7 linked regions of the Neurospora crassa OR74A genome follow. The protein of the gene in region 3 binds, or shares a complex with, the protein of the main gene of each other region. Links are inferred from orthologs where the notes say so. Each region holds a gene or a part of one and is shown on either strand. Other genes may lie near its edges. The genes, in order: NCU06542, NCU02951, NCU03827, NCU05717, NCU07386, NCU01761 and NCU08728.

Region 1 (3,265 bases), on a different chromosome or scaffold from region 3:
TTCCCTTCTCTTACTGAGCCGTCCACTGACCCCAATCACTTATCAGGCACTTCGAGGTACTACGAGCTTAATGGTCTTCCGAAGCCAGAAGGCTGGCAAGATCAGTCGGATTAGAAGGAGGCGAAGAAGAAACAGTTCTGAGGGTGTGGGGATTAAGGCTTTATGTTGGGAAAACAGGTCTGCAAATAAAACCAAAAGCGGACATTCCCTAGAATGTATTATCGTTATAATGACTTTTTCGTTCTCAATTGGTGGTACAACCCAATTGCCTGGAAACATGGACCTATAAATGGGAAAGGTTGGGCAAAAACGAAGCTGCCTGTTCTGAGTGTTTTGATGGATAGGGAAGGGCTATAAGGGGCGTTAAGGAAATCATGACACAATCACTTAGGGTTAGGTTCGTTGTTACCGACTGCTGAGATAACCCTGGTATTGCCAGGTGTGAAAAGGCAAGCTGACAGCAACACAGTTGGTCCAGTGTCTCCGTCCTTCCCCGAAGTATTTCGTCTTCGGTGTTGTATCATCTTGAACATGGCCAGTCTTCGACAGTCGTAATACAAGGAATATGGACGCCGATATCCTGTCATGCACCTTTTATTTCCTTATAGTACACGGACACATAGTTTAGGATGCGGAATGATGAACTACATGGATGAAGCTTAACCACCTCCACCACGCTCACATCACATCATCATCATCCTACTGCCATGTAACCAGGGGGGGTATCATCTCAATTGTGCTCTGTTGTGCTAGCTGCTTAACCAACAGAGGCCTTCTTGGGCTTCTTGGTACCGTACTTGCTACGACTAGACATACGAGTAGCAACACCGGCCTGTTTTATCACCATTCTTTGTCAGCACATCATTTTCACAAACTAAACACTCATCTTCCCCTTTTTCTCCTTCTCTCCCATCCTCCATCCAGGGGTCTCCATCTAGGGATTTTTCTTCTCAGGAAAAAACTTACCAAATCCAAAGCACCTCTAACAAGATGATACCTCACACCAGGGCAATCCTGGGCTCTGCCGCCACGCACGAGCACGACGCTGTGCTGCGAAATGTTGTGGCCCTCGCCGGGGATATAGGCCGTGATGACCTTACCCGTGGAAAGACGGACACGGGCAGTCTTGCGTTCGCCCGAATTGGGCTTCTTGGGACGCGTGATGCCGACTTTGACACATACACCCTTGAGCGCGGGAGACTTGATGGAGGACAGGGCGGGGGAGACGGCGTGGCGAGCACGTTGGGGCTTACGGCAACCCTGGAGGAATGAAGATAAGAGTGGTTAGCTTTTGATCAGATTGAATTGGACGCGGGACATAGGGCTGTGGTAGTAGCACGGGAACCAAAGTGGTGATAGGTGCATAGGTAGGTAGAGGTAGGCGGGTTGGGGATAGCCTCATCATCATCACTTACCCTCATGACCTGGTTAAGAGTGGCATTCTGCGCCGGAGTGCTGGAGAACAACCGCGCAGCAGCAGGAAGGATGGAAGAGGACGATGGCATCAGCGGCCGTCGTAGCAGCGACGGCTGCGCCTGCGAAAACAAGTTCCGCAAGAAAGTCGTCGCCATCTTGTGATCTTGTGGATCTTGCTGATGGCGGGATGCTCCGAAATCGTCAAGTTCGGTCGGTCGCGGCGCGCAACAGGACGCGGTACAGTACAGGATAGCGGTTCCCCAGGCCGGGCCCGGCAGGCGCACGCAGGGCCGGCGGCGGCGGGCGGTACCAGTGTGGGAACTTTTTTCGTGTCACGGGATGACACACGTGGAGATAAGCTGAGCCAAGAAGGTAGCAGAGGTACGTACCTACTGCCGTGCTTGAGGGACGGAAGCCATTGGGTAAGCTCCGAGTCGTGTGCGGCAATCATCGGTTAGCTGTGAGCCTTCGACAAACTGACAGTCACATGGCATTTGTTTTCCATTCCCCTTCGTTTTCTGAAACTCGTTCGTTGGCACCTCATCATTCCATTTCTATCGCTCGTCTGGCTCTGTTTTCCCTTCTCGCTCACGATCCATGGTTTGCTATTCGCGATTAACGAGTCACGATCCACGGTCTAGCAACAATGGTCACCGCTCGCCGTGCCCCGTGCCCGGCCATCATCAAGGTCCATTCGAGAGAGAGTGCCCCTCCTCCGATGTCCCGTCTCTACCGTGTCTCCCCCAAATGCATCCCTGTCGTGGCCACCGTTTACCCCGGCCAAGGAAATCTTTGTGGGGAAAATGACCTCTTAAGAGGACCGCCCGATTCGGAGCTTTGTGAATGGTGGAGACCTTACCTCGGCAGAGGGGGAGACACTTGACCCAGCTGTTCACAGCATATCGGCCGTGTGCCGGCCAATGCCATTGACCTTTGTTACCCGCTGGCTTGGCTTTTGAATTACTGAGAGAGAGAGGGATAGAGAGAGCTAACAGTAGAGCTCTTGTCCCGGTTGCCCGTAGGTATCCTGCTATCAAGGTGTACGCACCTATCTCCTCGAATACCGCGTGGGCTTCTGCGATAATGATCTGTTCTGTATATCAAATGCATAGTGACAGGTTAGACACATCGAAGGTGTAGGAGATGCATACGATGCAAAGGTCAAGAGAAATCGGGACTCTCTTCACCTTATTTTGAGCCCACGCTGTCATTGTTGCCTTCCATCCAATACTCCACGGATCATCGTTACGGAGCTACATAAGTACATCTTTCATCTGGTCGTTAGTGTTAGCTCCGCTGTACCGTGCCCAGCGACTTATAAGTACCCGAAGCTCGTTCCATCACACCTCCAGTTCTCCTTCCCCAAGCATTTGATACCCTTTCCGCCTTCTTTTCTTCCATTATCTCTGTCCTCTTCGTTCTTCCTAGACAGCACTCGCGCCAGGTTTCCGATCGGTTCTTTAATCATCACACATACGCATCAGACACAATGAAGTCGTTCACTAGGGTTTTGCGTCCCGCCGTCCGCAGGGCTCAGGCAGTTTCCGCTCCCAGACTCTCCAGAACTCCCGTCGTCCAATGGTAAGTTTTGTCATCTCGTCTCATGCCTGGTCTGGTCTCAAAAGAGATGGGCTGGAAGAGGGAGAAGGCGATGTGCTAATACTTGGTTTCCCGACATAGCGCTCGCACTCTTTCCACCACCTCCCCTCGCCGGGACATAACCGATCTGCCGCCAACCCCCATTACCCACTTCTCCGAGGTTGAGACCGCCATGGCTGAGACTGTCCAGAAGTTCGCCAACGATGTCATTCTTCCCAAGGTCCGCGATATGGATGAGGCCGAGGCTATG
Region 2 (3,839 bases), on a different chromosome or scaffold from region 3:
CCGCGGCCGCTGGGGGGAGGCAGGCCTGGTGAGAAGGGAGTGGTCGCATCGTAGGCCAGAGTCTGGTGCAACGGGTTCACCGCGGCATCCTCTGGGGGAGGCGTCTTCTCGCGGTACCGTACGGGTTCGGCGGCAGGTGGCGCGGCTGGGTTATAGGCCATCGGAACAAATGCTTGAGGCGATGGTGTCGAGTGATCGTGGGAAGCAGACACTGCAGACATGGGCGGCGGAGCAAAAGACTGGATTGCGCCAACTTGCGGAGGCTGTGATAAAGTGGTCGGGGGTGTACCGTGGTCAGCGATTGCTGCCCTCTCGAGTTGCTGGACTACCGCGCTGACTTCGGTATCGTGCCGAGGTGGTGGTCCTGGCTCGTTGTGGACATCGCACTGGTGCGGAGGGAGCACACGTCGGATGCCATTGACGAATTGCAGAGCATCTTGATGGTTGTGAAAGTAAATGTCGAGCGAGTGAAGCTTGTAATGGTACTTGGCCTGATTGTGAGGGTCGTATGTTGGTAGATGCCACTCCTCGTAGCCCTCGACCTCGCCAACCGTCAAAGTTACAAGGCAGGTGTGGTTGTAATCGTACTCGAGATGGGTTTTGTCGAGGTCTGGCGACACATGATGTTAGCCTTCCCACTGTCGTCTCGAGCTCTCACTCTAAATCCTAATGCTTACAGCCATCGAAAGCATCCTGGTCTTCCCTTCCAGGTTGGTTCGCAATCTCCAGCCGTGCGCGGCCCAAGTTGGCATCTTCGAAAAGGTATACATAGGAGCCCTTGTCGAACCTGTGATGAGGCGGGTTATTTGTTGGAGGGCCGTAGAAGTAGTGAATATCACCAAAGCTATGCAGCGAATCAATCAGTCAGAATGCGCCCAGGAACTATCACCTCTTTATGGGATCAACGGAAGACAAACTTACAACGTGCCGACGTTCTCCTCTCCCTCACGGGCGGCCATCTTTTGTGATCAACGAACTCGCTTGAGTGAACAAACACAACAACACAACAACGGTAAAAAGGATTGAGAGAACTGAAAGACAGCAAACTTTCTCAGCTTCCCACCCGAGGGCTATCACGCCTAATATCAGAGATGACGGAACCCAAAGAAAACAAAAGCCACTCGGCTTCCGCGTCTTTGCGATAGTACCCTACCTCTTACATACCCTTGCAGGAGACCGTGGTCTGGTTCTTCACATTCGGCTCTCACTCCATGGCGCAATCAGCACACAGCCATCCAACCAGCGCGCACGATAGGTCGGTGATGCGACCCCTAGTGCCGGTAGAGGTGACCTTGCCTGGTGGTTGCATCGTCCTGGATGGTCACTGGATGGTCCGCCTGGGCGCTTAAGGTGGGATGCCAAGAAAGAAGCACGAGCAAGTCAATTGTCACACTCTCCAGTCCTTCTTTCACAATTGACGAGGAGGGAAAGGAGCGGGAGGGAAAGACAAGAAAAAAGGTGGGGTAAGCAGGATCCATCCTCAATAAACCTGGAGAGCTACCAAGAAAGCCCCACCGGACAGACACCTTCTGGTCTCTCTGGCGGAGGGACGGGAGGCCTTTCAGGGCAGCAGGGGTCTCTTTTGCAGTGACTTTCGTGCAAGGCACAGTGGAGGTCATTGCCCGAGGTCATTCACTCTTTCAACGCTCAGCCTGAGGTCTTTTCTCGAACCATCCCTGTCCGTCCTCCACACGGCCCCGGCGGCCAAGCAAACGCACGCACGCCCGCCAGCCCGTACGTAGTGCCGTACGGCAGAAGCGGACAGAGCAGCAGGGGGACAAAAAATCGGCAGCACAACTTACCTAACGGAGCCATCCCGATCGAGACCTCGAAACCGCAATTCGCATCCGGACCCCGTTGCGCGCCGCATTCGCGAGTCCCGAAACCTCCACTTGTTTTTACGGCTCCTCCGAAGTCCGAATTCCTCCATCACGACCACCGACCCGTGACGGCCACCCGACTGTGCGCAACAGCTACGGTCTCCCGATTGGTTGTGCGTTGCAATCTTCCTTTTTTTTTTTTTTTTTTTCTGTCCCGCGAATCTTCATCGGCACGCCTAGACTAACCTCAAGACGCCCCGTCGCTGCAGCACCGATTCCTCACCCGCATCATCCTTCTCTTCATCCCGCATCATCCTTCTCTTCATCCCGCAAGGTCCCCAGTTCGCCGCCGCATCTCCCGAGCACTTCTACACCGGACGGACCAAGCCATACCAGCCGATCGACCCGACGACTTACGCGACGACGGCCGACTTCTCTCTCTTTATAACCCATCACCCAGTGCATACCATTTTCTCTCTCTCTCTTCAGCAACACAAAAGTCCCACACGGGCATCATCAAACCTTCAAAATGGGCATTCAACAAATCACCAACATGTGCTCGCACCTCCAAAACGCCTCGCGCGCTCGCCTGGGCCTGACCTCCCTGCCCAACACCAAGTACAACCTCGCCCTGGCCCTGGCCCTGCACCGCGCAGGCTTCATCTCCTCCATCACGCGGGGCGGTCCTCACCCGCCCACGCCCGAGGCCCTCATGACCTACGAGCCCGAGCCCGTGACCAGTGCCAACGTGGCCACGCGCCGGTTGTGGGTGGGACTCAAGTACTGGAACGAGGAACCCGTCTTGAAGGAGCTGAAGCCGATTTCGAAGCCGTCGAGGCTGGTGACTGCCTCCCTGGAACAGCTGAACCGTGTGGCGAGGGGCTTTCCCGCGGGATACATGAAGGGGTTGCAGTTGGGCGAGTGTTTGTTTGTGAACACTGATAGAGGTGTGTTGGAGGTTAGGGAGGCAGTGGAGAGGAAAGTTGGTGGGCTGGTTTTGTGCAAGGTAAAATAGATGGGTAGAAGAAGAAGAAGGAGGAGGGTCTCAAGGATGGACGGTGGGGATAGGACATGAATTCGGTGAAAGGAAGGCATTGTTGGGAAGGAAGCGAGAGGAATAGAAGAAGAGGAGGAAGAGTCACCGCACTTTGGGAGGATCTCAAACCTGAACTGGAGCCAACCATTTCTGTGCGCAGTGTACGATACGGATGTGATTCCATTGTACACTAGACGACTTAGCAAGACTGGACAAACATGGAAAGGAATAGACATTGGCAAAGCAGAGCTCATCCTTGGTTCTTGCTATGTGAATATGAGGTATGAGGCCAAGAAAGACAACGAGCTGGCATCCTGTATGCTATGATCTATGCATGACAACTAAATCATCAGCACTCACCGTGGAAACAGATATCACCAAGATTGATAAGAAAAGGGATCGATTCATCCTGCTCCAGGGTGCTGTACAACCCACTATCTGCTATGCATTCATACTTCATGCTTCGCCAACTTTCTTACAAATGTGTGATTGGTCTTTCTACAAAGGTATCATGAAATGTGCTAACCCAGTAACACTGCATCCCCCTCTTTCACTGTCTCGAACAAGTAATAGGGGTGATTAAAAAAGACTCTACAGGCCAAAAAGCGATCACATCCACCATTTCTGGCTTCCTTTTACGAATCAGAAGTGTGCTTAAATTCCGAAGTGCTGGCAGACTTCTCCTCGCCGTGCTCCTAGATGTCAGCATCGGTGGTATCAACAACCTCGGCAGCGGACGAGGGGGCGGCTTCAGTCTCCTGGGCTGGCATCTCCTCCTTAACAACATGAACGTCAGAAGTGGGGGTTTGGGGAGCTTCCGTGGCTTCCTCTACCGGCTGAGCAACTTCTTGAGGAGTCTCCGTCACAGTGGGGAGGGGCACCTCAACAGCTTCTTCTGCCTTGGGAACCGGCTCAGCCTTGGCCGCAGCTGAACCAGCACGAGACTGTTTCGGTGTCGTAGCCGCAGATGGTGCTGCAGATTT
Region 3 (4,267 bases):
AGCGGCGGGAGCAGCAGCGGGCTTAGGGGCGGCGGGCTTGGGGGCCTCAGCCTTCTTGGGGGCGACGTTGGTCAACTTGGGGGTATCAAGGAGAGCGAAGGGAGGAGCAACGGCCGAGTAGATGGGCTGGTTGTAGACAGTGGTGTACCAACGGGTGACGTTGGGGTACTGCTCGCGCCAGGCCTTGTCGAAGAAGAACTCGAAGCCGCGGGCAATGATGCCAGTGGCGAAGAGATCGGCAAGGGTGATGCGCTCGCCAACGAGGAAGGTGTTGTTCTTGAGGTGGGCCTCGGCGACAGAGATGGCCTTGAGGGCAGTAGCCTGAGCGTCCTCAACAGCCTTCTTGTTGTAGGGAGCCTTGCCAAGGAGAGGGCGGTACCAGCCAGCAAGAGGGGGAAGGACCTCGGTGTTGAAGAAAGAGAGCCACTTCAGGATGGAGGCATAGCTGAACCACGCGTTAGCAAGTGATTGCACAGGTTTGGATGCTCGATCATAAACTTACTCCTGCTTGGTCTTGCCGAGGAGAGTGGTCTTCTCGTTCTGGGAAGCGACTGTTGTCCGTTAGCCATGACTGTCCAATCAAGATACGTGGCAATTGCAGGAGGACAAAGAGTGAGTTCGACAGTCAGAAGTTAGAACCAAGTCAACACCGTATTTCAGATAGGGATAACTGTTTGAAAAATGTCTCGGTCATCAGGTCGAAGGGGCAAGGGGTTGTGCGCTAGCACATCAGAGGGTATCTGGCGCAAAGTTGATGCGTGTTTCAAAGTGCGGGGCAGGGCAGTCTTGCTTGACGCCCAACATATTCTGTCAACGTACCATAGATGGCGATGGCGATGCACTCGAAGAGAGTGTAGCCGTCGGCACCAACGAAGGTGGGGACCTTGCCGAGAGGGTTGACCTTCTTGTACTCCTCGATGGCAGCCTCAAGGTCGACCTTGATAACCTCGAGGTCGAGGTTGTTGGCCTTCGCGACAGCCAAGATGGCCGTGGAGCGGGGGTTCGCCTAGTGAGCAGAATCTGTTAGAATGTCGGCGCTCGTCCGCAGGCGCCCGCCGTGTCAAGACGAGCGCCGCAATCTCTGAATTCTGCTCATCTTACCTCGTAGGTGTAAAGCTTTCCGAAGGCCATCTTTGATAATTTGATCAATGATGAGGAAAGATGGGTTTGGGAAGAAGAGGGGTGACGGGGAAGCAAATAAAAAGGGATCTGTGCGATGGATGATGTGGATGGGAAGACACAGAGGAAATTTTATCTGTGGTGGGGCATGCGCGCGGCCACGGCAGTGGCGGGGAAATTGCCTGGCTGCTGAGCCTGCATCCCGTTTTGGCGGCTGGGTTGCTTCCCCTCACATCAGAACCTCACAGCGCTGGAACTCGACAGAATGCATGAGAGAGCTCAGTACCTTAACCGCCCGCCGGCCCGTTGGCGGCTGTGGAAGGCTGCCCAGATGGGATTCCATTGATGGTACCTAGCGAGGTATGCTTTCGGCCAGTGATTCACACTTCCGCTGTCTGTGCTTTCAGTTCCCTCGTGCCATGCCTTGATGGCTGCCAGGCTTCCAGCCCATGGAAAACGGTGCCGCTTGATTGCCGGGCATCTTGTCTTATCTGCCTGCCGGGCGGAATGGTCCCCCTGTCGGGGCCGCATGCGTGGAGGGGAAGGTGACGGGAGCCCAGGTGAGGTCGGGTCCAGTGAGTGCGGTGCTTGAGTGGGAAGCATGGGTGGTCCGAGCTCCCATTTTCCGCTTGCCGGGTGGAAAAATCCTCTTGCGAATTGTTCCGCCGCGGGACGGCCCACGACGCGCAGACGGGACCCGGAGTCCGGACCTGATTGACCACTGCCCGCGCTGGACCTGCCCTCGCCCCCGACAGCCCCAAAGATACCCATCGGCGAGCCGACCACACCTCGACCCGAACCCCAATCCCACTCCTCTCCCGATCCAGTAGCCCTCGGGGCCCGATAATGTACGAGAGGTGAACAGCCGCTTATGAATGATGGCATCTCTTAGACACAGCATTACCAGTGCTCTTCGGAGCTCCCGCCAGGGCTGTTCCAAGTCGGCGCAATGGCAGTCGCTTGACCAGCAATTCGGCGCTTTGCGCATCAGCTCGAGGTCCCTGTCCACCCACGCCCACGACCACAACCCGAACGTAGATGGCCAATTCATCGCCGCCCCTGCGCTCAGCATAGACAACTTCAAACTCCATCCCTATGCCCGTGCCGTCCCCGTGTCGCCCTCGTACTTCACCCGGACGCCCCGGTTCTACGACAACTATCTTTCCCTAGAAAAGCTCATGGAGGAGTACGAAGACCTTCCTGTCATCCCCGCGACCGCCGTCGAGCGCGTGGCCTGGAAGACGCTCGAGGATATCAGGAAAGAGCTCGGCGAGCAGGTCAAGGCATCCGAGTTCGCAAGGTGTCTGGCTCTCGTCAAACGGCTCAACTCGATCCACCCCGACCTTAAGCCACAAGAGATCAAGGATGTGCTCGACAGCTTCAGGCGCAACGTACAACCCTTTACAAATGTCGCCAAGCCGATCCCGATTGACCAGTTTGGCCGCGCTTGTGGAGTCGGCAAGAGAAAGGCCTCGAGTGCTCGGGCCTTCGTGGTGGAGGGTACCGGCGAGGTTCTGGTCAACGGGAAGACCTTGGCCGAGTACTTTGGGCGGGTTCACGATCGCGAGAGCGCTGTTTGGGCTTTGCGCGCAACAAATCGCATTGACAAGTACAACGTCTGGGTCAAGGTGGAGGGTGGTGGTACCACGGGTCAGGCGGAGGCCATTACGCTGGCTATCGCAAAGGCCTTGCTGGCTCATGAGCCTGCTCTGAAGCCGGCGTTAAGAAGGGGTAAGCTTCGCACTACATTACACATGTTTTGGTTTTCTATGATTGTGCCTCGCCATACAGGCTTTCGCGGTATGGTAGGTAGGGATGATGCACCTTTGCTAACAAGTCCCTCTTTCTTTTACTGTAGCCGGATGTGTCACACGCGACCCGAGGAAGGTCGAAAGAAAGAAACACGGCCATGTCAAGGCCAGAAAGATGCCTACCTGGGTCAAGAGATAATCGCCCTCCTGCTACAGTTTGCGGTATTATTGGATGGGTTTCGTTTTTTGGGGGGGCATTGTGAATATGCTGCCTCAGTTTCGGTTTATGCACGAACGACCAGTCAAATGGAGCGATGCTTTTTTTCCCCACCAGCGCAGCATCACAGCTCCTTTCTTTCTGGGAAGCATTTTCTCTCATGTGCGTACTCTATATGTGGATATGCATGTGAGTGTCCGTCTCGCTTGTGGCCTCGCCTGGGCCTACCAAGTTCAGCACAGGTCGATCTCAGGCAAGCACGCGTGTACTTGTACAGGAGGGGTTCAACAAACCGTGTTAGGGGGGGGCCGGCACGACCTTGTTGTGTGTGTATAATACAATCTATGTGTGTGCTGGGGGGGTTACAACGGTTCTTTTTGCCATGGAAAAAAAAGGTATGCAAACCGATTCGACGCCCGGCCTCTTCAACCGGCATCACTGCAACTTTGACATGGGTTTTGCTTGTGATGGGTTGACTGATTCGTGCGACTACAAGTCATGAACCATCCGGGGGTTACATCCAATGTGTAAGAGGCATGCCGAACAACTCCCATCTCACAGATTAGGTGGGAACGATACGCACTGCAGGGCACACGTGGGTTAGCCGCGCTGTCAGAACCGCGTTTTCTGAACTTCAGATTCCGTTCCCGTGGCGGCAGAGTGCAATCCGTGTTCAGCATCCTCGCCCGAGGGCCCTGGGGGACTGTAAGGATCCTATATAAGATGGTGTTTGGTAACCATTTGTCATGCTTTATTATTGTCCCAAGTCCCACCATTCCCATTATGCTTGGCCCGTAATGAGGTCGGAATAGGTAGTCAGAGGTCCATACACTGCAGTGCTCACGTTCGCGTTCGTATATAAGTGACCTATGTAGTATGAGGTGGTCGAGAGTATGCTCCCTTTGACCTGGATTGTCATGGCAAAATCACCCAATTTGTGGATGTGATTGGTGCCAGATGAACGCATTGGGAGACTTCTGGCAGCTGATGAGACCTATGCGGTCCCGTCTCGTCTGAAATCACTACTTGATGGTGTCGATACATAACGATGGTTTTATGGAAGCTGCACAATATTTCTGCAATATGACTGGAGAGGTTGAGGATGAAGTCGTCAACAACCGGTCCACAGACACACACACACACACACACTTGGCTGTGGTGGTCTATCAGGTTGTTGTCA
Region 4 (3,806 bases), on a different chromosome or scaffold from region 3:
CAGGTATATGAATGATCGGGAAAGGAAGCGTGGCCCAGATGATGCGTTGAATCAGTTGTTCGACCGTCTGGTCGGCGGTATGTCTCTTTGCCCCTGCCTCTCATTCCCCTCGAACTAACATCGATACAGACGAGGACCGAGCAGCAGCAGGAGCCGGAAAACCCGTCGAGGCCATCGGCGCCGAAGCCGCCCAAGCCTACATCTCCTCCATGGGCGCCAATATCGAAAACGTTGAAGCTTTTGTGGTCCTTGAGATCGTCCGCGCCGACTCCATCGGCCAAATCACTCGCCAGGGTTTCGTCGAGGGGTGGTCCTCCATCTACCTCGACCACCGCATTCCCGCAGACCCGGCCCACCACAGAAACTACGTCCGGATGTGCATCCAAAACCTGCCTCAAAATCCGGCCTACTTCAAAAAAGTCTACCAGTTCGCTTTTGGCCTGGGTAAGGAACCTGCCCAAAAGGCACTGGAGAAGGACGTTGCCTTGGTATTCTGGGATTTGTTTTTGGGCACCGAGTCTTCAGATACAGGACTAGGACCGAGGCCGTGGAAGAGCAAGAACGTGGATTGGCTGGGTGCGTGGAAGCGGTTTTTGGCGGAGAAGTGGACGAGGAGCGTCAACAAGGATATGTGGAACCAGACGCTGGCGTTTGCGGAGAAGACGATGGTGGATGAGACGCTCGGGTTCTGGAACGAAGACCAGGCGTGGCCGGGCGTGATTGACGATTTTGTGCTTTGGTGCAGGGAGCAGGGGATTGCCAAGGCGCCTGCACCGGGGGCAGCAGGAGGGGAGGGGATGGATGTTGAGGATTATTAGAAAGTTGGTCATGAGCATCCGGGGAAGGAGTGTAAAGGATGAAGTCAAGTGGGTGGATGTGGTTATACGGGGGGGAGCATATGAGGATGTTGGTGAGGACTCTTTCGCCTTGGCGCAGGGAGGATAAGAGGGGCAAAGAAGAGAAGCACTGATGGTCATGCTGTTGCCAGTTGATGCTGGGAGGGCTTTCGGGGCTCTCATGGCGGTTATCATCTTGTTGAGGTTGCTGCCATGGTGGTCAAGCGGCGCATCGAAAGATCAGAGGTTGGTTCGCAAAGAGCAAAGAATACATTTACACAGCGCATTTCCAGATACACAATACCGATAAGAGCATGCATTTACAACATGAAGGCCATTCAAAGGTGTATGAAGCGGTTGGGAATGTTTTTAGAACAAGTCTGATTTCTCATTGCTTCTAGACCACATTATAACCCTTTAGGAACTTTTAAAACAGCTTTTCTGGAGGACCATTACACCCAACAGATGTCTCTACAATCACCGAGGTGACAGCTGAAGAGTCGAGTAAACAACCTCTCTCCCACCCACCCTTGATGAAGTGTGTACACCCCTATCCGGAAGGCGGTCAACGCGGCAGAATCTCGACCTTCTTCCTGGACCCCACAAAAATTTCCAAGCAAGCGGCGGCACCCGGACGCCCACTCGCAACCAACCCGCTGCGGCACTGCGGCAATGCGGCACTGCTGACGGCAACACCCACCACACCCTACAGTACTTGCTGAGCCCGGTCACAACAGCAGCCACAGCGGTACCTACTGTGGGGCTCCGAACTTCTTATCGACGTCCAAGGTTCACTAGGTAGTACTATACGCGCTTTCGGCCGGTCGCAATCGCATCGCATCGCATCGCGAAACTAAACTTCTTTTTGCGTTCGTTTCTTTCCCCGAACCGATTGCCCGCCGCCCAGCCCAAACTACCAGACAGGATGTTGTATGAGACTATTGGTATTGTGAGTTACCCTAGGGTTGAACTACAGGAGCAGGTTAAGAGATTGGGGGTACAGAAAAGGAAAGGAAATGGAAAGGGAATGGGAGAGGAGAGAGATGGAAAGAGACAGTCTTGCTAATGATTGCACTTGTGAACAGGTCCGCCCGGGCAACATCGCCGAGGTGAAGGAGTATGTTTTTTTCCCCTTCTCTTTGTTTCCACTCGATAGTCCGTCCGACTTGAAGAAAACTCCCTCCGTCTTTCCTTTCCCTTACGAACCCGACCCGACCCGAACCGACCGATCTTTCTCTTGTCTTCTCTTCTACCACATCATCCACGACCCTACCTACCTATCACCCCGACTCCGACTCCGAACCCAACCCAACCATCCCATCCTCTACCAACCTTCCACACCTCGTCGTACTAAACAAGAACCAATAAAAAAAAAACAGACTCGTCCTAACAGCCGGCAAACTCATCCTCAACCAAGGCGGCGTCATCCGCGACATCAAGAACTGGGGCACGTTCCTGCTGCCCCGTCCCATCTCCACCAACCAGCAGCGCCATAACCGGGGCCACTACTTTGTCATGCGGTACGACGCCAGCATCGCGACGCACGAAGAAGTCCGACGCACCATGAAGGCCGACCCGCGCGTGATCCGCACGGCGAACGTGAAGTTGGGCGATGGCAAGCTGGAGACGCTGTCGAGGTTTGGGGCGATTCCTTGGAGGAGTTTAGAGGAGGCGTAAATCTGTATCTTCTGGACGGAGAGCAAAAGAGGGGGCGGGTGGGGGGGGAATGTGTACGATGGATGGACAGATGGATGGGAAATAATGAATCGAGTCGAATCGAATCGACATATATCCATCCCATCTCCTTACCGGCTTGTGTATACCAAAAGGGCCGTGATGAAGCAGACCGGACAACATATATGGACGGATGGATGGCAGGCATCTTTATACCTTCTTACCTCCGTCGACAGCAACAATAAAAACGACCGAAACACCCACCAATAACGATCTGGGCCTTCGATGAGCAATGGTACATCGTGAACGCACGACACCTGGATAGCAACATGGGATACATACATACAGACAGGCAGCATACGTATCCGAAATCTTCATTGCGAATGGGTTGCGGAACCATCCATACCCACTCAGGTTGAAGGAAGGAGGAACCTGACTCCTTTTCGACCCCGTTAATGGATCACCGTCGTCGATCAAGAAGTTCTGGCGTGAATTAGGGTGCACTCGAAACGGTCAGAGTATCATATCAGTCAAGCCAGCTAGAGAACAAACTCCCGGACCCGTCTTTGTTCATGTACGATAACGCATGTGGAATGTGATCCGCTAAAGAATACGACGCCATATTCAGATTCCTTAAAGCAAGGTAGTTCATCGGTCCCGGCTCAACAAGGATGGCTTGGGATTAAGAAACGTCAGACACGATCATATTAAAGTTACGGGTGATCTTTGAAAACTTGACGTGAGGGCTCTTCGCTCAAACTTCATCCTCGTTTCAGTTACCACACTTGTATGCTACACTACCTCCCCTTATCAAATGTAGTTGATCGATCCTCTCGAGTTCCCAGTTAAACACTATGATATCAGTCTCGCCAACACACGGCAACACACGGCAACAGAGGCATGTTCATATCACCAAGTCAACACACATCCAGAACCGGGGCTCACTAAAGTGAGATTTAATGTAAACCATCTCTATCAATTACCTTCCACTACTTTCACTCGGCTACCTAAATAATGAATCACTCCAGTCTTCCCTCTCTCTCTCTCTCTCTCTCTCTCTCTCTTCAAAACGAAAATTTTTCAAATCCAGTCTTTCCACCCACCATACCAGCAACGCCCGGAACAAGCAAGCAGTAAACTGACCACCACCACCACCACCACCATCACCAACCCCCTTGACGCTGCGTTTGTATCCTACCACTTTATCCCGGCGTTTAGACACAAAAGACCCGGTAGTGAATGCAAGGAAGAAAAAAAAGGAAACACAAAAAAACGAACAATAAGAAAAACATAAAC
Region 5 (3,840 bases), on a different chromosome or scaffold from region 3:
TTGCCCAAGTATCCGTCCAAGCTGAACCGGTTGAAGAGGATGACGACGATGATTACTGGGGCCGATACGATGCCACGCCTTCCCAAACTCCCGGTCAAGGCCGCTCTCCTGCGCCGCCGTCCTTGGGCGCCGGCCTCAACACTCAAAAACCCCATCCCTTTGAGCGTAGTCCGTCCGCCGAAGATGCGTACTTCGCCCAATACGAATCCGTACAGCCAGCCATGGACCCCCATGATCCAGACGAGGAGGCCTTCCAGGGCGGAGCTGTGGGGGGTGGTGCACCGCTTAATGGTCTCCCCCTTCGCAGGTCTCCGTCGCCAAGACAACAGGCATATGAGCCGCCTGTCATCAAGTCCGCACCAGCGCCGCCGCCATTGGGCCTAAACGGAGACGGCAACGGCGGTTACGTTCCATCCCGATCACCCTCTGATAAGTCCGGTTCTGACTCAAGTGGCCGGCGCATGTCCCAGGCGGACGAGGAGAGGATGGAAAGCCTTGCTCATCCGCGCCCAGCCAGTAGCGCCAGCTCAAACGGATCCCGCATGGTGGCCAAGCTCGAAGAAACGGCGGAAGCGCAAGATCGAGTCGAGTTTGGAGTTAAGCAGCACGTCTCAAGGACGATTCGAAGTCTATTCCAGCTGTCACGCGGCGCTGGCATCAGTCGTGAAGAGTTCGAGCGGATGGTCAGGAACGAGCTTGATGTTCTTGCGATGGTGGAGGACGACGTTTGAATGACCAGGGAAGGAAGGGAAATTGATTCAAAGGGGGTGTCGGTGTTCACTGTTTATATTCCTCATTCTGTTCGGGATACTGCATCATCGGGTCGTTTTTGGCGTCAAGTAGTACTGGTGGGGGAAGTCCGGTGAGGGCGTCCAGTTCGCCTCGTGATTATTGTTAGTTGTTCGGACTTCGAGCAACGGCGTCCACGGAATTATTTTACAATAGCGTTACAGAATATCGGTCAAAGTACGATAATGAACATAGCACATACACGAGCAAAGTAGAGAAAGATGCCCAGTATCTGTGCACCAGTACATCATCGAAACGGTTGAAGACGCAAGTCAATGTGAACGCCAAGTACGGAACTCCGGAATTGGCAAACAGCTACCCCACCAAGGACGGTAGGTACCTCTCAATAACATCCAGGGTTAGGGTCAAACCTGGCTCTTTGCGAGGACGGTGAGGCTGCCGGCCGCCAGTTCGTCCCAACGATTGGTCCCTGCTCCAATGGCCGGGTCCTTCCGCAGCGGAGCAAAAAAAGTCTCGAAAGTCGCGTCCCACTTCGACCGTCTTCCGGGGTTGAGTGCCCGTGTGTTCTGAAGTGCGTCCGCTCTGCGCCGGCAGCCCGTCCAGTCTTGAAGTTGTCTCCGTCCGTCCTCAAGGTCCGCCCCCCACACACACTGTCCACCGTCCATCTCCCCCGACCGAACGACCGGCCGACCTTCCCTTCCACCGAACCTTTCCTCCGACCCCCGGGCCGTTTTCTTGCGGAGAAAGAGACCAAAAAAAACCCCAACAGACAAAATGATCGGCTCCATGGGTCTAAGGATACCCCGTGCGACAAGCTCGCTCCTCGGCCGTGCCGTCAACGCTGTCGCCACCAACCAGTCCGCCGTCGCCGGCGCCAGCATCGCCGCTCAAAGGAGATGGCAGCACTACCTCATGCCGCTTCGCGACAACTTCGAGCAAGAGGGCATCCGCAACTTCCTCAGCCCCGGCTCCGTCAACATGGCCTATACCGAGTACCAGACCTTCATTTTGGAGAAGCTTAACGCGCTTGTAGTAGGTACGTACGGATGACACAGCAACACAGAACATACTCGTCTGGGGAATTTGGTGTCGCTGCGTTATCATGTGGCACGGCATAGCACGGCATGGCATGGATGAAGGTTACGTGCGAGGATTACTGGCTGCGAGGAATTGGTATCCTTTGGTCGAAAACGCCAAGCTGGGATGCTGTTAAGCCTGAGAGGAAGAGGAGGCATTAGCGCAGTGGTTAGGCCACAAAGGAATTGGTGGAGGAAATAGAAGGAAGGGGACTCGGATTGAAGCTCAAGCCAGAGCATGCCCTGCCTATCCGGGGGGGAAGACATGATGTCACCTATTTTGCTGCATGGGAGATATCTAACCGACAAACCACTTTGCTTACTTCTCTTTCGTCAAACAGGCACCGACTTTGAGCAAAAAGACACCAAGTCCATCGTCCTCGCCACCGCACGCGACCCCGAGCTCGCCCATGTGTTCAACCACGCCTCCATGGCGCACAACAACCACTTCTTCTTCGACCACCTGTCCCCGGTCCCCGTCAAGATGGGCGACAAGCTATTTTACCACATCAACGAGAACTTCGGCTCCGTCGACACGCTCCGCGACGAGATGATCGGCACCGCCGTCTCCATGTTCGGTCCCGGTTTCGTCTGGCTCGTCCGCACCCAGCTTCCCGGTCAGCCCGTCGCCCTCCGCGTCATGGCCACCTACTTGGCTGGTTCTCCTTACCCGGGCGCCCACTGGCGCCGCCAGGAGATGGACGCCCAGACTTCCATCGGGAGCTCCCCCCAGGGCTTGAGCAACGGCCAGCGCTTCTTCGAGCGCAGCGCAGCTGGGTTCAAGGGCAACAAGCTTGAACCTACGGCTCCCGGCGGCACTGATTTGATTCCGATCTTGTGCCTCAACACGTGGGAGTACGCGTGGCTTCGCGAATACGGAACTGGTGTGGGTGGTATGGGTGGTAAGCTGGCGTATGCGCAGAGCTGGTGGAACATGATTGATTGGGCCAAGGTCGAGGAGGAGGCCAGGCTGGAGACTAGGATCTTGACGGGCGGTGATAGCTCTGTTTAGCCTCTTGCTTCCATTCTGCGGGGGAAGAGGAGGGAGGAGTGAGGAGGAATTGAAGTAGGAAGTGAAGCGGGAGCGTGAAAGCTTAAGCCTCGACTTTTTGGTTCTGAATTACTCGCGACTACTGGTCCATCAGTCCATGCCTGCCGCCGCCATCGACAGTCCGACGGCTGTCACCTTGTCCGAGGGGTAGAAAGAGCGAGTGGAACGGGATGGAGATGGATTATTGTACGGTTGCTGCCCAAGTTACTTCTGTGACTTTGTCTGTCTATATGGAACCCGGATATATAGGGAAAAGTTGTTCTGTACGATAGGATAGCATGACGGTGAGACCGGCCGGAAAAAGAGAAAGGAAAGTAAAAACCAAGCCAGCCCCGGCAGCTGCCATCTATACTTTTACATGTGTATATTACCAATGAACCAAATGTGTGTGTGTGTGTGAAAGAGGAAAGCAGGATAACGGCAACGAAGCAACAAACGGATAGGTCAAATGCAAATTGTAAATATAGCACTTTGAAAGATGGACGCACATTGTGACATCGACATCCAACCTTCTCTGCTTACTTGACCAAACTTTTTAGTACATCTCCTAAGGACCTCATACGGACCTACATGTCCGACTACTCCTTACTCCGCATGATGTCTGCTTCCTTCACGATATCAGCTCACTAGGTAACTACCACGACACATCAGCTGTTGAAAACATACCTGACCGCTGCCAGTTGTAGCCCTTCTACCTTTGTAGTTTCAGCCTCTGATTTCTCCTCCTTCGCAAGGCCTCAGGCTCCATGCCGAGTGATCGGTGACAAACTGAATCTTGACTATTGACTGTTAGGTTATCAGATTTGCCTGGCCGAGACCTCACTGGTTCGTTTCAGCGCGGTAGCTACTAAAAGTAGGTACGTAAACCGAGCACCGGTGAAGGACGGCAGAGTGAGTGTATCGGTGTCTCGATTGCCATGCCATGCCATGCCATGTCATGTCTCGCATTGGGACTCCGTACGT
Region 6 (4,195 bases), on a different chromosome or scaffold from region 3:
ACTAGAATACATACCTGCTGCAAGTTGGGAGACATCAACTCATCGGGAAGCTTCGTGTTCTCGTCCTGAGACTGCGAGAAACTCCTGGAAGCCGAAGCACGGCGCTCGTTGGGCGAGCCGGTGGATGCTGCGACGGCAGACATGGTCGTCTGCTGAGGGCTGGATGTTGAATGACCTAGCCTGAGGGGATTGGAGGGATGCTTTGGGTGCTGGTGTTTCACAATGGGAGGAGATGCTCAAGATGGTGATAGAGAAAAGCAGTAGATTTGGTTCCAATGGCGACGAAAGACACAGATAAATAGAAGCTTGGGGGCGAGATGACCACAAACCGCTTTTGAGAGAACACGGTTGGTGATGGCACCGACAAGAAGATGCAGAAAGAGAAGAAGCCTTAGAAATATGTGTTGATATAATGGGGAAAAGAGAAAGAGCTCCAAGAGCTGGTCTGGGACGGAAGAAAGAGTGTAAATGTGCCCGAGATACCCGTACTTTCAGCTACAGTTGCCCTGAAGTTGGACCTTCTCGCAAGGCAACAGCAACAAACCTCTTGGTGACGATGGACGCACCGGTCAGAATAGGGCTAGAGGTAGGTAGGTACCTCTAGGGTAGGTATGAGCCCGGGATGACCGAGACTAAAGTCGAAATGGTGGACCCTTGGCTCCCGAGGGAGGAAGGCACGATGGAACTGTGACCGGGACTGCCCAGGTGTCACTGCCCGGACACTCCAAGCAAAAAGGGGTTCACGATGCCTGTGAGATAATCCGCAATCTCTGTGATCAAAGCTCACTTGGGCTGCCATCAGATGATCTGACGAGTGAACGCACATCGGCTCGTCCATCCGAAGATCGGAATCGAATATGATGAGTCGCTGGGGAAGTTGCGACCGGTATTCCAGCTAACGATCATCGGCCTTTGGCGTCGTGCCTCCCGTCCTTGTGCCTAGCGGGATCCTTATCACCAAGCCGAAGTTTTTCACGTGTCGCGGGGACGTCGGGCATGATGGTCAACCGAGCCAGCGATGAGACATCCTGCCGCGTTAAGGACCTTGCTGTCCGGCTGCCACTTCCCATACGATCAACGGGTTTCTGGGTTAGGCGTCCGAGCCCCAATGACATATTCCGAGTTCATTAGGCGGTATTCATACCTAGGTGTTCATGTCACCTGCCATTCGGTGTGATCTACCATTCTTCGTCGGAATGAAAATGAGTAGAGTAGGTAGGGAAGCATGCAACGTCTGGAAGCTTCAACAAGACAGCACCATCACCTAGCATCGTGGACATTAACAGATAGGAGTGGCGGGTCGGCTTTTCTCGTCCGGTAGGGCTGGGATGCCAAGGTCTTTGCAAATTATGGTAGGTGTGATTAGCTTCCTTTCCTATCCATTTTTATTTTGGAAAAGGCTTGAAATGGAGCAGGAAGAGCCAGCGCACCTTTTCACATTCATGGCGTTCTTTGACATGGACGGCTTGTGCAAAGATCTTGGGTGATCCGACACTCGCTTGTTGTTTTCACCCAAATGATCAAAGCTGTTCGTAAAGAGGGACAATGGCGAAGGGTCATATCCTCCCTCAAGCCCATCCGCGCTATGGAATCAAGATACGGTATCTTCAGCTTATCAACAGGCGCTTCTTTGTTCGATGCATCAAGAGACTTGTGTAGACGCATGGGAGGACAGTCCCGAGATGAACCTTTGACAAAGCTGGTAACCACAAACCTGCTTGTCGAACTAGGCGGCTATTCAACACCATTTGAAGGGGCAAGTGCCGCGGGCGTCGCTAACCATATGTACAGTTGTGGCAGCACCTCGTCACGGGGAGACTGTGATGGCATCAAGTACTGAGCGGAAAAATGCATGTCGAAATGGACCAACTGCCGGAGGAACGCCAGGTATTCGGGGTATATGATTCTAGTCCGCCCACTATATGATACATGTACACGTCGTGTAGTTCTGATTTCGGGACGCCGTGTCTTATTTCTTCTTCTTCGCATCTGTCGCAGAATATGAACGTTAGAGATTTGAACCGTGAGTAAGAGGTGCAGACGAAACCCACCGGCCGCCGAGGGTGCCGTTCTCTTCTTCTTGGGCGCTCCCTTGTCGCGGGCTCTCAGACTGTAAGGTATGGTTAGATTGTGATGTTTGCAAGTAAACACTAGCAGGAATGAGAGAGACGAACGCTGCCAAGTGCTCCAAACGATCATCATCGACCTCATCGTCAACCTCGAGACCAAGAGTACCGAACTCCTTTTGAAGCTCGCGAATACCGACGTTCTTGCGGGGGTAGTAGGTCGCAAGTGCCGGGCCCTTGAGTCGCTGACGCAGGATCTTGTTACCGGTCCGGATGCCTTCGGGATTGAAAGTCGTCGAGAAGAGCTCGCAACGAGCCTAGGTATAACCTAGTTAGCGAACTGGTTTTTCCCCTCATTCGGAACTGTTCCATACCTTCACAAGTTGCAGTAACCGCGCCCGTGGGACCGACATCTTGCCGTTACATGGAATTGCGGATTCGCGAATTCTAGAAACAGCAACAACAAGAGCCGCCGGATTGTTCGACGTCGTTCAGAGATCTCCCGCTCCAGCCCGTCAAGCAATGCGCCACCAATCATAACCATTCATGGGTACAAAGAGTGGGGCACGGACTGCAACCGTTGTTTTCGAGCCGCAGTGTCCCCGGGCCGTCAGCGCAAGCCCGCTGATGAAGCCGAGGGCGGCGCGTTCCAGGGCTGACAGGCGCTAAGAATGACAGCTACGGGCCATAACAGGGCAGCAGCAGCGCCCTGATGTGGATCTGGGGTCGAACAGGGGGTTAGGGTTTCCACTACGCAATGGCCCGGGATTCGTTCTCATCTTGAAGAATCCGTTTTCGATTCTGCCTCTACAATTTCATCGCCGCATCAACGCGCGATCTGAGGCATTCGGATTGCTTGTAGGAAAGTACAATCTTGCCATGCCGAAACACGGACCCACCCCGGAGGAGGTATCAGAACCGCCCTCCAAGCGTGCGAAGTCAGACTCTGCACCATCCGCATCACAAGGCGCTACATTGGAGTCCGCAACCTCCGTCCAAATTCCTTCTTTGCATGCCAATACCAAATGGACACTCGCTACCATCCAGAGAATGCGGCCACCGCTCCCCGACATTCTGGACCCGGCACTCAAAAAGGCGGCGCTCACACACCCTGGTAAAGCTAACAACGACCCTGTTGCAAGTTATGAGAGGCTGGAGTGGATTGGCGACGCTTATCTTGAGCTCATCGCCTCCTCCTTCATATATCAAACTTTCCCGACCTTGCCGGCTGGCAAAAGCGCACAACGTCGCGAGATGCTTATCCGCAACACCACACTAGGCGAATTCTCGGTCTATTACGGCTTGGACAAGATGGCCGATATCCCGGAAGAATTCAACATGGAGGGCAGAGTGGGCGGTACAAACGCAAGTCAAAAAGTCAGAATTAAGATTCTCGGAGACCTTTTCGAAGCCTATGTAGGAGGCGTGATTCTTTCTGATCCTGCCAATGGGATTCAGCGTGCTTCAGACTGGCTCAAGGCCCTATGGGGCCCTCTCATGGCGGAGTACATCCGCGAGGAAGAGAAGAAGGCCAGGAAGCCGGAGCAAAAGCAATCCGCAAGTGGCCAGACACTCGACCCAAAGACAGTACTCGAAGCTACCATTGGAGCCAGGGGTGTCAAGATCGAGTATAAAGATCTCCCTTCCAAAAACCTGAAGGACAGGGGAACCAAGCTGCCTCTTTTCGCTATTGGCTGTTTTATGACAGGCTGGGGGGAGACCAACCTGCAACTTGGGCACGGAAGTGCTTTGAGCAAGAAGGAAGCTGGTCAGAAAGCAGCTCAAATGGCCTTGGATAACAAGAAGCTGCTCAAGAAGTTTGCGGACAAGAAGGCGGAGATGAAGGCCGCGCGGGAAGCCCAGCTGCAGCAGGCAGGAGTGACGTTCCCCTTGAAGGATCAGCCTTCGGCACAGGAAACCACTGGCGGCGTGCTGTAGCGACCAAGTACTGTTCGGTCTCATATGCCCCTGATCTTTAATACTTCGACACACCAACCATCACATGCCCGTAGTCTCGTGGTTTACCTCGGGCGTCGGCCATGAGAAGGACGCATAGCAGATGAATTAGGCCATTCATTACTACGGGTAAACGACCCGGGTTCAAGGGAGGACCAGGGACCGTTTCGTTT
Region 7 (3,583 bases), on a different chromosome or scaffold from region 3:
GATGGGTAGCTAGTGCAAACAATTGCGCAGCAGTCGAGCTGCTTGATGATGATGATGATGATGATGGAAGTTGGAACTCCATGGCTGGCTGGATAGTAAACAAATGCAGCCCTGTTCTCAGGTGGCTCGCGGGAAGAACGAATGCGGTGCCCTTCTCGGACTTTGCGCGCAGACTGGTGAACCGATCAAATGTTGATCAGACCGACCAGAGGGAGGGGGGGCATTCGTCTGAGGGCATCGACGATGCAAGCACACCCACAAATGCGCAAAACAAAAAAAAAAGAGTGACGGATGGTGAAATCCAAAAAGAAGGTCGTTGTGAACGCGAACGGGAAACCACGGCCAGATAGATATATTGACTGCGGTGGCGCTCTTGCCTAGACGAAGAATCCATGACGGCCCAGTCCATGCCCAGGCAAGGCAAGGCAAGGCACAGCACGGCAGTTCACGCCTGCCTTAAACTACCTACACTACGTCCTACATTGATGTACAAACATCATACATACTGTAGTGGTGGCGAGGTGTATGGAACTTGAAATGCTGAGGAAGGAGCAACACTGAAGAAGACGGAGTGCACGATCGATGTGAACCACTGAGCTGCAGTCAGGAATCGACGGACGCACGCCGGTTATCGGCCACCACCAAGAATGCCAATAGTCCGGAATCCGGGATGCTATGTTTTGGAGTATCGCAGTCGCGTTAGTCCTGAACCAATTGACGGCAGCACGGGCAGCAAGTGTCTGAGAGTGCCAACCAGTGCCGCCGGTTTGCTAAACGGTATGTAAGTCATATAATACTTGCTGTATCCTAGTTCGAGTAACACCAAGATTTCGGCCCCAAGTGCTGCTCGAGCAGGGGGGCTTGCCAGTACAGGGGTAGGTACCTGTAGGGTGTGGTGCACGAGTCACACCACCATAGCATTAGATTCAGCAGTATCGTGCATAGATTTTCTTCTTCTTGCGCACCCAAGAAATGCACGATAACACAAATTGGATGCTAATTGATCTTTGCCATCAGGTAGACCCCGCTTTCTCTGCTCACTAAGCAAGTGCCGTTTGACTGAAGATTTCCGTACCTCTCCACTGCAGGGTTGACATCCATCTGTATATTGACGGTAGGTTACCTTGACAAAAAGAGGTGTTTAGAGGGTTATCATCGTAGTGTAATTATGGGGGCGTTGCTTTTAGATATCGATAGACAGGGTTACCCGTGCAGGGGTTTTTGCTGTATCGATAATCGCTTTGATGAATGCCCCCTAACCCTGTAGAAGTACCTACTGCGTACATAGGTAGCCAGGGGGGAGAGTCAGCGGGGGCGTCCGTACTAGGTATGCCGGCCGGCAACCGATAAGCTTGGCAGTTCCAAAATTCGGCCGTGGTCAGCGCTCCCGTCACTGCCGCCGTCGCCGTGATACCTGGAACCGCTCCGCCCGCCCGCCTGCCGGACTCGCCGACTGACTGACCGACCGACCGACCGACCGACCGACCGACCGATTGATCTCAAGACCATCCGAGTGTCGCGTACGCGCCCGGCCTCTTCCCGCTATTTGCAGCCACCACCCATCACCACCGAATTCCTTCTCGTTCGCGCCCAACATGCAGCCAACAAGGGTTCTTTTCAAGAGATCCGTGTGGAAGGGTAAGTTATTTTGTTTTGTCTCCTCCTAAGCTTCACCTTGCGATAATGTACTCTTTGCGCCGTCCAAGACAGTCAAGCTAACCCGCATCGCCGACTCCAGGTCCGCACATTGTCCCGTAAGCTCTACTACCCCTTCCCCTCGTTTCTGTCCCCGCGATCTCAATGACGACGACGACGACGACGACGACGACGACGACAATTCAATGCGCCGGCGCACTCCCGAGGACTCTCTCTCCTCCCTGCTCCCGATCAAAGCTGCCGGCGCATGTCCATCATTCTCTACGAGCCCATCCCGCGACATTCCCCTCCATCCGCGAACCAACGCAGTCCAACCGAATCCAACCGCAACGCTACAAGCATAGTCACCTATCTTGAGCGCAAACGGGCACTAACCACCAACGCATACACACAAAACAGTCTCCCCATCCAGCGCCCCGAGCCCGGCAAGAAGATCGCTCCCATCCGCACCCAGGCCCGGTCCGCCACCATCCTGCCCAACTTTGTCGGCCTCAAGTTCCAGGTACACAACGGCAAGGACTACATTGACTTGACTGTCACCGAGGAGATGGTGGGGCATAAGCTTGGAGAGTTTTCTGCGTAAGTGCTCTTTCTTTCTTTCTTTTTTTTTTTTTTTGGTTCTTTCTTCCCCTACTTTCACTAGTCTACTTTTTTCCTTTCTTTTCCTTCTTTGACTATTATTTTTCAATTTCAATATATTATTTTTTTAAAGGGTCTTTTTTTTTTCCTTTTTTTTTTTTTTTTAAGATGGCGGCGGAAATGCCATAAATGTTGGCGGTGTGGGAAAAGAAAAAAAAAAAAAAAGAATTTTCCTACACAAAATTCAATGGTCTGACACGGCATGGCCATGGCATTGGCTGGTGGCAAGCCATGAATGGCTGGACGGGCGACATGTGTTGGACGCCACCACGGGATGATGATGATCGTAGGCGGTGGTGCAGTGTGGTCAGCAGAAAACAAACAACACAAAAGACACACATTGGGCATATGGACATGAACAATTGGACCGACACTAACTGAATGGTTCAAAACCTCAAACAGTACACGCAAGCCCTTCATCTGGGGTAAGAAGAAATAGACAAACCAAACTTCGTTCGTCTCTTCAGTGATGATGATGAAGAAGAAGAAGAAAAGAGAAGAAGAAGTCGATTGATTGATGGATGCGGGTTTGACACGTTTTTTCTGTGGGCGGCGTTTATTTCGGCAAAAAACAAAAAAGCATATTTTCGTTGCTTATCTGTATCATACCATACCATTGTCAGAGGAGGGCACAGGTTTCTGTACACATATCATATTTTGGGGCAAATTAGAACTTTCGCTTGGATTCATACTACTGTGCTGTGTCTGTTGTTTCAAGATGAACATGTATATGTTGTGTAGTGTGTAGTTTAATTATGCTTTGTAATTGATAAAAATATGCTAGTATCGCCAGGTATTATTATTTTTAGCCTAGACTAGTAGTCATAACGGGTTCACTGAGAGCAAACAGGACGATGGCAATCTTCCATAACGGCGCCTCCTGAACGCCAAGCGCAAAAAAAAAAAAAAAAAAAAAAAAAAAAGGAAAAAAAAAAAGGAAAAAGAAAAGAAGACCCGATGACCCCAAACCCCTTTTGCACCGTTCCCGTGTTGGACCCTTGATTGCCGACCCTTTGCCCATCCATCCATCCATCGATGCATCATCCTCTTGATATCCTCCTCCTTGAGCAAGTAACCACTTGTTGCCGCCCCTTTAAGATAGTATCATCCTTTGGTCTGCCATGCCACCATTCCGCTCACACTCAGGCAAACCACCCACCGTTTCCCCATCCCTTCTCATCAGTAGAGCAGACAGTCCTGCACCGTGACCGTGACTGCCCCCCTAGCGATAAAACTCGCTCCTCTTCACATTAACCCCAAACTCCCCTGCCGCCATGCCCAAATCCTC

Evidence for each region.
Region 1: NCU03827 (region 3) and NCU06542 share a complex: the UniProt entries of both Saccharomyces cerevisiae proteins name them as parts of the mitochondrial small ribosomal subunit. The link is inferred for Neurospora crassa OR74A from reciprocal best matches to the Saccharomyces cerevisiae genes MRPS9 and MRPS12.
Region 2: NCU03827 (region 3) and NCU02951 share a complex: the UniProt entries of both Saccharomyces cerevisiae proteins name them as parts of the mitochondrial small ribosomal subunit. The link is inferred for Neurospora crassa OR74A from reciprocal best matches to the Saccharomyces cerevisiae genes MRPS9 and MRPS8.
Region 4: NCU03827 (region 3) and NCU05717 share a complex: the UniProt entries of both Saccharomyces cerevisiae proteins name them as parts of the mitochondrial small ribosomal subunit. The link is inferred for Neurospora crassa OR74A from reciprocal best matches to the Saccharomyces cerevisiae genes MRPS9 and MRP17.
Region 5: NCU03827 (region 3) and NCU07386 share a complex: the UniProt entries of both Saccharomyces cerevisiae proteins name them as parts of the mitochondrial small ribosomal subunit. The link is inferred for Neurospora crassa OR74A from reciprocal best matches to the Saccharomyces cerevisiae genes MRPS9 and RSM26.
Region 6: NCU03827 (region 3) and NCU01761 share a complex: the UniProt entries of both Saccharomyces cerevisiae proteins name them as parts of the mitochondrial small ribosomal subunit. The link is inferred for Neurospora crassa OR74A from reciprocal best matches to the Saccharomyces cerevisiae genes MRPS9 and RSM27.
Region 7: NCU03827 (region 3) and NCU08728 share a complex: the UniProt entries of both Saccharomyces cerevisiae proteins name them as parts of the mitochondrial small ribosomal subunit. The link is inferred for Neurospora crassa OR74A from reciprocal best matches to the Saccharomyces cerevisiae genes MRPS9 and RSM19.

Annotation. Positions count from the first base shown.
Region 1 is NC_026504.1:1,584,283-1,587,547, forward strand, and holds NCU06542 (putative mitochondrial 37S ribosomal protein MRPS12), read right to left. Parts: upstream 1,715-3,265; 5' UTR 1,572-1,714; coding exon 1,416-1,571; intron 1,261-1,415; coding exon 967-1,260; intron 833-966; coding exon 758-832; 3' UTR 577-757; downstream 1-576. Other genes in the region: NCU06541 (alpha-1,2 mannosyltransferase KTR1), read left to right, coding at 47-114; NCU06543 (acyl-CoA dehydrogenase), read left to right, coding at 2,906-2,997, 3,097-3,265. UniProt on the Saccharomyces cerevisiae protein: Component of the mitochondrial ribosome (mitoribosome), a dedicated translation machinery responsible for the synthesis of mitochondrial genome-encoded proteins, including at least some of the essential transmembrane subunits of the mitochondrial respiratory chain.
Region 2 is NC_026501.1:8,605,752-8,609,590, reverse strand, and holds NCU02951 (mitochondrial 37S ribosomal protein MRPS8), read left to right. Parts: upstream 1-1,558; 5' UTR 1,559-1,993; intron 1,994-2,089; 5' UTR 2,090-2,349; coding exon 2,350-2,835; 3' UTR 2,836-3,288; downstream 3,289-3,839. Other genes in the region: NCU02950 (hypothetical protein), read right to left, coding at 1-610, 678-844, 922-959; NCU02952 (hypothetical protein), read right to left, coding at 3,552-3,839. UniProt on the Saccharomyces cerevisiae protein: Component of the mitochondrial ribosome (mitoribosome), a dedicated translation machinery responsible for the synthesis of mitochondrial genome-encoded proteins, including at least some of the essential transmembrane subunits of the mitochondrial respiratory chain.
Region 3 is NC_026505.1:2,536,236-2,540,502, forward strand, and holds NCU03827 (mitochondrial 37S ribosomal protein MRPS9), read left to right. Parts: upstream 1-1,362; 5' UTR 1,363-1,994; coding exon 1,995-2,850; intron 2,851-2,977; coding exon 2,978-3,069; 3' UTR 3,070-3,932; downstream 3,933-4,267. Other genes in the region: NCU03826 (elongation factor 1 gamma domain-containing protein), read right to left, coding at 1-445, 503-551, 820-1,006, 1,102-1,131. UniProt on the Saccharomyces cerevisiae protein: Component of the mitochondrial ribosome (mitoribosome), a dedicated translation machinery responsible for the synthesis of mitochondrial genome-encoded proteins, including at least some of the essential transmembrane subunits of the mitochondrial respiratory chain.
Region 4 is NC_026503.1:614,210-618,015, forward strand, and holds NCU05717 (mitochondrial 37S ribosomal protein YmS16), read left to right. Parts: upstream 1-1,499; 5' UTR 1,500-1,761; coding exon 1,762-1,785; intron 1,786-1,921; coding exon 1,922-1,953; intron 1,954-2,215; coding exon 2,216-2,513; 3' UTR 2,514-3,212; downstream 3,213-3,806. Other genes in the region: NCU05716 (hypothetical protein), read left to right, coding at 4-77, 130-818. UniProt on the Saccharomyces cerevisiae protein: Component of the mitochondrial ribosome (mitoribosome), a dedicated translation machinery responsible for the synthesis of mitochondrial genome-encoded proteins, including at least some of the essential transmembrane subunits of the mitochondrial respiratory chain.
Region 5 is NC_026501.1:6,129,487-6,133,326, reverse strand, and holds NCU07386 (Fe superoxide dismutase), read left to right. Parts: upstream 1-1,254; 5' UTR 1,255-1,524; coding exon 1,525-1,786; intron 1,787-2,167; coding exon 2,168-2,838; 3' UTR 2,839-3,299; downstream 3,300-3,840. Other genes in the region: NCU07385 (hypothetical protein), read left to right, coding at 1-731. UniProt on the Saccharomyces cerevisiae protein: Component of the mitochondrial ribosome (mitoribosome), a dedicated translation machinery responsible for the synthesis of mitochondrial genome-encoded proteins, including at least some of the essential transmembrane subunits of the mitochondrial respiratory chain.
Region 6 is NC_026502.1:2,520,242-2,524,436, reverse strand, and holds NCU01761 (hypothetical protein), read right to left. Parts: upstream 2,684-4,195; 5' UTR 2,480-2,683; coding exon 2,441-2,479; intron 2,384-2,440; coding exon 2,175-2,383; intron 2,111-2,174; coding exon 2,052-2,110; intron 1,990-2,051; coding exon 1,970-1,989; 3' UTR 1,431-1,969; intron 1,339-1,430; 3' UTR 565-1,338; downstream 1-564. Other genes in the region: NCU01760 (pumilio-family RNA binding repeat protein), read right to left, coding at 15-143; NCU01762 (nucleolar RNAse III), read left to right, coding at 2,946-4,004. UniProt on the Saccharomyces cerevisiae protein: Component of the mitochondrial ribosome (mitoribosome), a dedicated translation machinery responsible for the synthesis of mitochondrial genome-encoded proteins, including at least some of the essential transmembrane subunits of the mitochondrial respiratory chain.
Region 7 is NC_026502.1:3,811,476-3,815,058, forward strand, and holds NCU08728 (mitochondrial 37S ribosomal protein RSM19), read left to right. Parts: upstream 1-1,216; 5' UTR 1,217-1,595; coding exon 1,596-1,638; intron 1,639-1,738; coding exon 1,739-1,754; intron 1,755-2,055; coding exon 2,056-2,235; intron 2,236-2,697; coding exon 2,698-2,734; 3' UTR 2,735-2,986; downstream 2,987-3,583. Other genes in the region: NCU08729 (transcription initiation factor TFIID 23-30kDa subunit), read right to left, coding at 3,518-3,583. UniProt on the Saccharomyces cerevisiae protein: Component of the mitochondrial ribosome (mitoribosome), a dedicated translation machinery responsible for the synthesis of mitochondrial genome-encoded proteins, including at least some of the essential transmembrane subunits of the mitochondrial respiratory chain.